Linked DNA regions of Arabidopsis thaliana. The protein of the gene in region 2 interacts with the protein of the main gene of each other region in a biochemical or structural test. Each region holds a gene or a part of one and is shown on either strand. Other genes may lie near its edges.

What was found. The genes of interacting proteins can lie anywhere in the genome.
Region 1: the proteins of ATG8B (region 2) and NBR1 form a complex in vitro, tested with the Arabidopsis thaliana proteins (one study listed by BioGRID).

What each region holds. Positions count from the first base shown.
Region 1 is NC_003075.7:12,739,309-12,745,184, reverse strand, and holds NBR1 (ubiquitin-associated (UBA)/TS-N domain-containing protein / octicosapeptide/Phox/Bemp1 (PB1) domain-containing protein), read right to left. Parts: upstream 4,154-5,876; 5' UTR 3,995-4,153; coding exon 3,962-3,994; intron 3,604-3,961; coding exon 2,714-3,603; intron 2,625-2,713; coding exon 2,501-2,624; intron 2,398-2,500; coding exon 2,140-2,397; intron 1,963-2,139; coding exon 1,813-1,962; intron 1,721-1,812; coding exon 1,163-1,720; intron 1,085-1,162; coding exon 983-1,084; 3' UTR 515-982; downstream 1-514. Other genes in the region: AT4G24700 (uncharacterized protein), read left to right, coding at 1-378; MOS1 (modifier of snc1), read right to left, coding at 5,448-5,876. UniProt on the Arabidopsis thaliana protein: Autophagic substrate degraded in the vacuole by non-selective autophagy. Requires ATG8 protein expression to be recognized as an autophagic substrate. Acts probably as a receptor for autophagosomal degradation of ubiquitinated proteins.
Region 2 is NC_003075.7:2,327,891-2,332,435, reverse strand, and holds ATG8B (Ubiquitin-like superfamily protein), read left to right. Parts: upstream 1-1,845; 5' UTR 1,846-2,376; exon of another isoform or gene 2,377-2,492; 5' UTR 2,493-2,509; coding exon 2,510-2,546; intron 2,547-2,978; coding exon 2,979-3,034; intron 3,035-3,113; coding exon 3,114-3,166; intron 3,167-3,452; coding exon 3,453-3,571; intron 3,572-3,669; coding exon 3,670-3,773; 3' UTR 3,774-3,994; downstream 3,995-4,545. Other genes in the region: AT4G04630 (senescence regulator (Protein of unknown function, DUF584)), read left to right, coding at 1-273; AT4G04614 (uncharacterized protein), read left to right, coding at 4,522-4,545. UniProt on the Arabidopsis thaliana protein: Ubiquitin-like modifier involved in autophagosomes formation. May mediate the delivery of the autophagosomes to the vacuole via the microtubule cytoskeleton.

The sequences.
Region 1 (5,876 bases), about 10 Mb from region 2:
AAGAAGAGACTAGAGTTGATGAAGGCAGCTGCGCAGGCTTGGCTCAGCCACTCCCAAACCTCAAAACATACTGTTTTAGAGTTCGATGCGCAGAGAAAGCATGCTTTTGTCAAAGGGAAGGCATCACGTTTCAAAACGGAAGCCTTGTCCGCAAAGCATCATCCGTCGTTTTTGGATTGGGAATTCGGACAGTCGCTGTGGGATCCCTACGAGATTCTTTCGGTCTCTAAGAAACTGGAACGCGAACTCACTTTAGAAGAACAAACCTTCTCTTCTTCAGATAATGATGGCCTCAAGAAGATGAAGAAGAAGAAAACTAGAGACAGCAGAAACAGCCTTAGGAGTTTGTTCACTCGTTCGTCTTCAAAGAGATTCTAACAAACTCATCATGTTACTACTTCAAACTTGTAAATTTTTCTCAAAAAGTGAAATCAATTATGAATGTCTTTTATTGGTCTATTCAAAAACTTTTATTGGTTTTTGAATGGTTTCTATGGATAGAATAACAAAGTTTTGTCAGTTGTAAACAGTTTAATGAAGCCGACCACCATGACTAATTGCAACTGCCATGCCGATGATTCGACCACGTGAAAATGTCACCTGATTGAGAGAGATGAGAGGGTAAATGTGAATTAAAACAGTACGTTGTTTCAAGGAAAGCTCTTCTCACAAACTCACATTAAGCCAAATACAGCTGAGAAATGGAGACCAAAAAGGCCTAAAGTGATGAAATCAATAAAAAAGACTCAACCATTCATTTGACCCGAGGAGCAGAACGACATAAACTAAACTGAAATAAGAAAGAAACCATCCATGTCTTAGATAGAGTTAACATAGTAACATCATCCCAACACAAAGCAAAGGAACAGACCATGTGACGCAGCACGAAACCAAACTAAGAGATCAGGTTTTATTTATAAAACATAATTATTCCTGATAGATAAGAGAGATAGAGAAGAGTTGCCAGAAACCAAAGAGCTCATCAAGCCTCCTTCTCCCCTGTGAGGAGATCCATTACCACGCCTTTGATGCTTCCATTGTTCTTCTTCAGCAGTCTCTTGTTCGTCACATCATCACAGAAGCCCTGCAAAATCACAATATTTTCAACATTCCAATCTGCAAAGTAAGATTTAATAAATTCACCAAGTGCAGACACACTTACCATCTCCTGAAGCTCCTCTAGGATTGGATCCCACTCGCTAACTCCACAAAGAGCATCAACAGACTGCTCCAGGTTGTACTCGTTATCCCTCAAGATCTCCTTGTTCAAATCTATCTCCTTGAAACCCATTTCCTCGAGCTCCTTGAGCATGGTTATCTCCACGTCATTCTTTTCTATATCCTCCTGAAGAGGAACTGGCACGTCTTTTGTAGTAGATGAAGAACCACCAGACAAGACCTCAACAGCAGGCATGCTTGGGAAGTCGACCATGTTAAATGAAGAAGATGAAGATGAAGGAGAATGACCGTGAGGGATAGCAGGATGAGCTTCACCAACCAAAAGGTTTTCTTTTTCCACGGCCTGTGTTTCACCAACTTCGCCCTCTAGATCAGTACCTTTCACGGTCCCAGGATTGACACTGGAGCTGCCAGGTTGAGCTGACTCATAATTCATAATCCCTAGAAATTCGCTTGGAAAATTCTCATCAAGGGAGGGGGAGGCATTAAGGTTCAGTCCATGAAACTCATTCACAACAGAATTCTTCAGAGATGCATCAACCTAACCATGCAAAAAGAAAAAATGTATCAAACACATATGATAGAAAGAGACAAAGAATTAAAGGACAGAAGCTGCACAAATCTAGTAAGTACATGTATCAACACCCAAACACGTTGCCCAAACTTAGCACCGTCAGAGGTAGCCATCCTCCAATAAGAAATGTATCGACCAGGTAACTCTGGTGCAACAAAATCAACTTTGACGTCAAGTTCACTATAGATAGGCACACCCTCCTTTGGAATCTGCCATGTGTAAAGAGAGAAAAAAACAGTTAGTATTATATAATCAAGCAGCTATAGTCACTTCGTGAAGAAAACAACCTAACTCAAGCCATCGAGTGTAAATTCAAACAACATAATTGCTCTGTTAGTGGTAAGAATCGAGCTAAAAGAGTGAAAACTAAGGAAATTGTTTCTAACCTGTAAATCAACTGACAAGGAGTTGCAGAACCTGTCCCCACCGATCCAGACAATCTGTGTGCCCTGTGGCCACACCAGCGAACCACTGTTCCTCATTTTCCAAATCTTAGTAAATGGGGCGGATGGAGCAACAACGGTTCCATCAATTACATTCACATCAAGGACAAACCGACTGTCTAGTTTAGGGCGAGTACACCTGAGAGGTGCACCTCCATTGGTTGCTCGTGGCACAGGGTGGCTCAACCAAGGATTAGGAAACTATACCAAAAAAAAAAGGGTAAGAATTCCTCATAGCTATCAGAGAAGACACATAGAATAAACAAGAAGAAAAGTAATTATAAACTTAGAAGAAGAGCAATACTTGGGTAAACGGTCCTCTAAAAGGATGCAGATGTTGAACGGATACAGGCTTATCCATTCTTGTGTAATCCCCCTCGTTACCCATCACCGAATAGCAGATGGTGCACAGATCATAGTCTTCTTTACTGCACAATATTCACAAGCGAAACATATAAGCACAATAAGTTCTAGCATGTTTATAGTTTCTAAAGTAGTAAGTAGAAGGCATCCTTACACTTTCGACTTAAATCTAGGCCCAGTAATTGGAAGAACTCCACATCCGTCACAACGGATGCCCTTATGGAATACACCCAATGAAGTCCAGTAATCACCATTGGTGCTCTTTTTGGAATGACAAACACGACGAGGATGCTTGTTGAGGTTAACTGGATTTGGACAGGAGTAATTCATGGTACTGCCACTAAAGGGACACTCGTTGAAATTAGCACCCAGTCCAGACGAGTTTGGTACATGACCAGAAGTCTTTGAATGAGCGCCAGTGGGTTCATTCAGATTAACAGGTTTCCTTCCGGTCTGGGTCCTCTCAGAGATATCCTTCTTTCCACCAGCGGAAGGAACATCCCTGCTCAGGGAAGCACCTGAAGAACCAGGCTTGGTAACAGGTGAGCAAGGACTACTTTCCTGAGGAATTGAGAGCTGCCCTAGCTTGGAAATGCAATCAAGCATCTCACCAACTACAGGACTAGAAGTTGAGGCCTTGGATGCAAGGTCCATGTACACCTTTGATATGGTATCACGCATCGGGTTAGGTACAGCCATCAGAACATCATTTATACCCTTCTGGATTTTGGAAACCGGGTTAGGCATACCCGCAGGTGTGGAACTCCCACTACTCTCTGGAGCAGCAGAGTTAGTGGACACGCCAGCGTTCACATTGATCTTTAAGAACTTAAGACGCTGATTAGTAACATCAAAGAGATCGTTGTCATCAACAAGGGCAACCACATCCCCATCCTCATCAGAGTAAGTCAGACTCAATTCAGCATCCGCAGAGAGGTTAAAGAGAGCAGCGATCTTTTCCTTAAGACCAGCCATTTCAAGATCAAGCTGTCCATTAGCTTTAACAGGCACCCTGAAACGCCTAAGCACACCTCCATAGCTCACCTACATAATCACAAACAAAATTAGTATCACTTCAATGAAAAAAATGAAAAAAAATTGTCGAAGAAATAGATTACGATTCTAATTACGATAACTTATAGTTTTAATCATTGTTCGGGTATAAGATTCAAGCAGATACTGCTAAGTATGTCTGGAAAATTTTCGAATTACACTTAAGATTATAATACAGAGACAGAGAGAGAGAGAGTCGATCCATAGCGAAATTCAAAAGGAAAGGACCGATTACAAGCAACAAAATCAACAGAAACGAGACGATCGCCACGAAAACCCAGAATCACCGACAATTACTGTGAGAAAACTGACGATTCGCAAATAAAGAAAGGAAGGTTGTATCTCTAACCTTGACGACGAGTGCGTTAGCAGTAGACTCCATCGGTAACGGAGATCAGATCAGCTGGAGAGAATTAAAAGGCAAGCGAGAAGAAACCCTAATTGAAGAAAAAGAGTATCTAGCGAGAAAAAGAGAGAATCGGGGAGAGATTTATCTTAGAAGAAGCGTACCCGTAATCCGCTTTTCTCGTAAACAACCAAGAATTTAGACGGTCGCGTTTTATACTATATATCATTACACAGAATATTTATTAAAATAATTAATTTAATGGGCCCTTTTGTTTATTTAATTAATTTCTGACTTAGCCAACAAGATTTTGACTTTTTTGGTTACTACTGGCTTATCCAGAAAGACAAATCAAACTAACATCCCTAAGTTAAAGCCAAAAATATCAAGAGATACGAGTACATATAACTAGATATTTTATTTTTCATACTAACATTTTGAAAATTGACCAATTCGAGTTCTTATAAAATACTACATCTTTTATGTTTTCTCCAATAAAATGATCAGATACTATTTTATTTTATTAAAACTTCAACTCTTATGCCGACCACAAAAAATAAAAAAACATTTTAAACTCTAATTTATGAAGTTTGAGAAACAAACACCACCAATTCCAAAATCCAAACTCTTAAAACTCTTATGTTTGCTACCTAACCTCATATAAATTTAGTAAATTTAATTAGATATTTTCTTATTATTACGTTTTGTGAATATAATTTATCATATGAACTTTTTCTGTACATTTTGGTGCGTTCTAATAACTTAGTAACATTGATATACAATTTTATAATATAATAGTCATTTGAGACATTCGACATTCGACATACAAAAAAAAAAATATGAGATTCTATATGGCTATATGCAAGTGAAAAGAATTAAAGTGTGACTTGAATTACTAGCATATCATGATGTGATTGTGTAGTTGATGACAAGAGAATATATGGAATAAATAATTGTTTGTACAATTAATTTAGACAAGTTTCAAAACGCATACATTGTATCAATATATCATATATTGTTTTTATATGTGATCATGACAATAAAATATTAGAATAATAGATATAAATATATATATTATACTAGAATTGATATTTCGAGTTATAGATAAATCTAATCATAAAATAAAAAAATTATATTAAATAGATAGGAATTTATCAAAATGAACATCAAAATCAACCAAAAAACATAATCATATTTTTTTAAGCAACTTTAAAAACAAAAATACTCATGAGTATTCATCTAGTGTATACAAAAGGCTACTACAGTAGTTATAATCATATTCAAACAAGTGACTGAAACATATAATAATAAACTCTCAAGACAAAGACTTTTTTTTTTTAATCTGCCAATACCTCCTCGGATAGGTCTCCTCTCAGCAATCTCCCAAGCTATGTGCCTACGAATTAGCTTCCTCAATCGCCATATCTCAAAATGCAAGTATCCTCAGCATGGCAGCTCTTACTACCTAAATAACAATAAGAGGCCAATCTTAGTTTCTATCACCAGTGAATCCATGACCACCGTTTCTCCCACTAGTACCCCTTTGCTGTTGGTATCCACCCTGCCTTTGCTGCCCCTGTCCCTTCTCTCTGTATCTTGGACCTTCTGTCTGAGAACTCTCTTTCGATTGTTCTCGACTACGTTCTCCATCATAAGTATGAGACCCAACAGGTTTGTATTCATAATGCAGATTTTGCTTCTGTCTATCTCTGTTTGAAGGTGGCCTCTGATGGTGATGGTGCATATTCTCTTGCGCCGGTAAACCCCAACCTCCTTGTGACTCCTGCCCTCTTCCAAACCGTCGACCCTGCCCTGTGTTCTTTTGGAACATACTATTCGGATTTTGCTCAACCTGGACCTCCTTATTGGTAGATCGGTTTTGCAACTGGGCTTGTGTATCAGCTGATGTCGTTTTTTG
Region 2 (4,545 bases):
TCAGCACCTATGAATGTCCCTGATTGGTCCAAGGTTTATGGTGACTCAAAGAGCAACAGAAGGAGTAGCCATTTGCATTCTCATGCTGCTGACGATGATGATGAAGATGATGATGGTTGCATGGTTCCTCCACATGAATGGGTTGCAAGAAAGCTAGCAAGAACACAGATCTCTTCTTTCTCTATGTGTGAAGGAGTTGGAAGAACACTTAAAGGAAGAGATCTAAGCAAAGTGAGAAATGCTGTCTTGTCAAAAACTGGTTTCTTGGAGTAAGTAGGATAAAATATCTCATCATCATCATCACCATAATTATCATCCATGTGCATGGAATATGAATCCCATAACTCTTGTTTAACATTATCATCATGAAAAACTCAACTTTATGGTATCCACATCATCATCATTATCAATGTCATTGTCGTCATCATCATGTGGGGATCACTATACCAAGAGTCTTTTTGTTAAGTTTTTTTTTTCTTTATTGTTGTTATTATTTTTCAATGTGTTATTTAGAGTAGATAAGTATCATAGTGATGATGATGACTTGTCAGCCCCATGCATGGGTCCCGTTTTATGTTCTTCTGTTGTTTTTGGTTTCTCTTTGAAGGTTTTTTTATGATCTTAAATTAGAGCCTAGAGAGGGGCATCTCCTTTAGAACCTTTAATTGGAGTTGAGTTCTTTACCATGTTTTGGTGAAAGATTTTGTCGTTTGCTATCGACAATGTTATATATAAATTAGATATCTTTCTTTCTTTGTTAATATTAGCTATGTCCATCTTTGGCTAATTATGTATTTGGCAAATCTGCTACTAAATATCATTAATTTAGCCGATTTCATGCAAAAATAAATAAGCCCTAAAATGCTGAGTTTCCAATTCTGAAGACATTTTCAACCATATCAATCGATCAATGTCATATATTCACATATCGAAGGTGTACATATAAAGGATTGAATCCATGATTTTCCTTTGAACTCTTTTATGAATAGTTTTGAATGTTTTTTTGTTTGATTATAGTTATAAGATATTTAATAGCGGTGAGTGAACGAGACCAAAAAAAAGGTGATTAAATGTAATAAACTTTAAAACTATGGGATATCGAGAAGAAAATAATGTAACGAGAAAACATCACATTAGACTTCAATAATGCTTTTAAATATAGAAAAAGGATTGATAGTAGAAGCAAAGATTTTTATATTGGTATGATTAGTAGTAAAACAACACGGTAAAAAAAAAACAGTAGGCGAACCAAATAGTTAGATTTTGATTGGTAATCTCGTATGGTTGCAGTATTTTACCGTTCTAAACTTCTAATTATTACTAGTGACGAAAACGTTGAAAAACGAGATTTTTAAAAAAAAGTTGTAACTATTTTTTTTAACAAAAAAAAGTTGTAACTATTTTGGTATTGTTTATTGTTTTTTTTATATACCTAAAACCTCTAACCTTGTTTTTTACCAGTCTTACTTTTGACATAAATAAAAATAGTGGTTAGAAATAGTTTTCAGTTCTGCTGCTTTCTTACCCTTTTTATGTCTTTATGATTGGTAATTTGGTATCAATCGGAACAAACTAAAATTGTTAATTGTAGTCCTTAGTCCTAATAGTTCGGTTATCCATTCGGTTTCAGTTTGTATCTATTCGGTTTCAACTTTTTCGGTTCTAAAGTTTAGTATTCATTTGGTTATTTTGAAAGTTTGATTCGTATCGGTTTTTTCAGTTTTAAAATTTAATATCCATTCTATTATTTTGCTTTGAATATTTTTGGATATTTCGGTTATTTTGGATATTTTCGATCATTTTTGAATATTTTCGGTTATTTTTTCGAGTATTTTTACTATTTTATATATCTTTTCAATTATTTTTAATTATGTAGTCTAAAAATAAATAATATTTAGTATCCATTTAGTTTTGGTTCTTTCGGTTCTTTCATTTATAGAATTTAGTATCCATTCGAATATTTTCCAATTTTTGGTTTGCTTTGATTTAATTAGTTTTGCTTTGATTTTGATTCGGTATATTCGAGTTGGTTTATTTGTCCACGCCTAGTAGTCCTGATCATGTAAATGACAGAAAAGCCCAAACGAGATCCAAACCTATAAAGGCCCAATAAATAGTTCACAAACTCATGACCACTACAATCCAACGACGTCGTATCATCTCGCTGACGTAAGATAAGCATCGTAACTAATTAAAATCCAAGTAATAAGTTTGGGTGCCGTGCAGGTAACAATCACTAAACCCTAAATCCATCCTCTCTGTTTCCTTTATATATATTCTCTCCTTTTTTCATTTTTTTGATCCTCTTCTTCTTCTACAATCAAAATTCATTTTTTTTTCCTCTGATCATCATCGAACCCTAGTTTCGTCTTTTGGGTACGTTTGATTTCGCCTCTCCACTTTGTCAATTTCGAGTTTTTGTGGTTTGGGTTTTTTTCCCGATTTAGCCTAACAGATAAAGTTTCGAGTTTTGTTTCTCTTAATCATCGTAGATACTAACCGAATCATCATGGAGAAGAACTCCTTCAAGCTTTCTAATCCTCTGGGTTAGTTTCCTTGTTTCTTCTTTTTTACTTTTTGCAATTTCTGTAGGGTTTTTGCTTGATTGATGTCACTCGATAAGCGTTTAAAGGATAGTTGTTTACTTCTTTGGTTTTCTTCGATCTTTTGGGCTTTGGATTGTGTTACGATTATGATCTTTGTTAAAGGAACTCAAGTTTTGATTAGCCTGATCACGAGTTTGTTGGTTCTGATTCTCGATCTCTGATATTGGTTACTCTGTTTGTATTCTCCATTGATTTACATTAACACGATTAAGTTATTAGACCTAGTTTGTTGTTGAATCTATAAAGATTTAGTACTTGTGCCTCTGGAATTTTCCTGGAAGTTACTTGAATTACATGTCACTAAGATGTGTTCATGTGTTTGTATAATCCGTTAGTTGTGACTGATTTTTTATGGTTTTGTTTTGGTTTCAGAGATGAGAATGGCTGAGTCTACTCGTATCAGAGCGAAATACCCTGAAAGAGTTCCCGTATGTTTTCTAAACTCTCACTTTACGGAACAAGATTTACAGTGTCACCCTAAGTTTCTAATTAGAGAACTCAATACAGGTGATTGTGGAAAAAGCTGGACAGAGTGATGTTCCTGACATTGACAAGAAGAAGTGAGTAATTTGTTTTACATATTATCTCTATCTCTCTTGTTGGATCATAATGGTATCAAATCACAAATTAGCTTTCAATCTCCTTTGAGTCTAATGGAAATGTGATATGATCCGGTAATCCTTTTAATCACTAGCTGATGAAATTTTGAGTCTAACTATAGTTCTCATTCTTCAAAACTTGTCCCTTGGTACAGTTTAGCAGTTTCTAGATACAGAGATTGAATTGCATAGCATTATTTTTTGCTGGTTTTGATGTTTTTTGCTGACACCTGTTTCTTCTCTTTAGGTATCTTGTACCAGCTGATCTAACCATTGGCCAATTTGTGTACGTTGTGAGGAAAAGAATCAAGCTTGGAGCTGAAAAAGCCATCTTTGTCTTTGTCAAGAACACATTACCACCAACTGGTAAAGGATTTTAACACTTTTTAAACCTTGTGTGAATCTTCTACTTCTATGGTTCATGTATAAATATGGTTTCTCTCTTTTCTGGTTCTTACAAACAGCGGCATTGATGTCTGCAATCTACGAAGAACACAAAGACGAAGACGGGTTTCTCTACATGACATACAGTGGAGAGAACACATTTGGTGGATCTTTCTACTGCTAATTACCTCAGCTTCTACGTCTGATCCTCTTGATGATTGTACATTCTCGTCGACCTTAATAATGTCATTTTACTTTCTTGGTTTAACCTTTTGAGCTCTCTTACTATCTCTTGCATTTGAAGATGGTATTTGAAACAAGATTCTAATTTGACTCTCTAGTTTCTTTGTTTTGTTTCCTCTGCATCTTCTCTATTGCCATTGAATAAAATAACCTCTATAGTAATATCATCATCAACGTTGATAAGTTCGTCTGATCAATTTACTAATTAGCTAAATTGTCTAAACCGAAGAAAAATCCTAAAATTGAATTAACCGAAAAAAACCAAACCAAACCAAGCACAAACCAAAAATTGAATTGGAAAATTCGAGACTTATATTATTCTCTTGGTTCTACGGACATGGACCGAGTATAGCTTCTGATCTTGCGACTGTTGCTGTCTCCGCCGCGAATCGTTCTCCTACCTTCGTCAACTACACCGGCAAGGTACGAAGCTTTTGTTATACTCTAATTAGATTTGTGGTATCTTCGTGAACCTTCAATTCAATTTAGGGTTTCTCAATTCGATTACAAAGATTCGTACTTGATTTGTTTTCGAATTGCTGGACGAGTTTGTCTTATTGGGAAATGATTTTAGTAAATCGTTGAAGAGAAATCAGGAAAGTTGAATACTTTCTCTCTTAAAGTTTTGAGCTTTTTGGATTGTAAAATTGGACTAATGGAGAATTCAATTCTGTGTTAGAGTTGTTATCATGAAGAAAGGTTTGATGCGATGG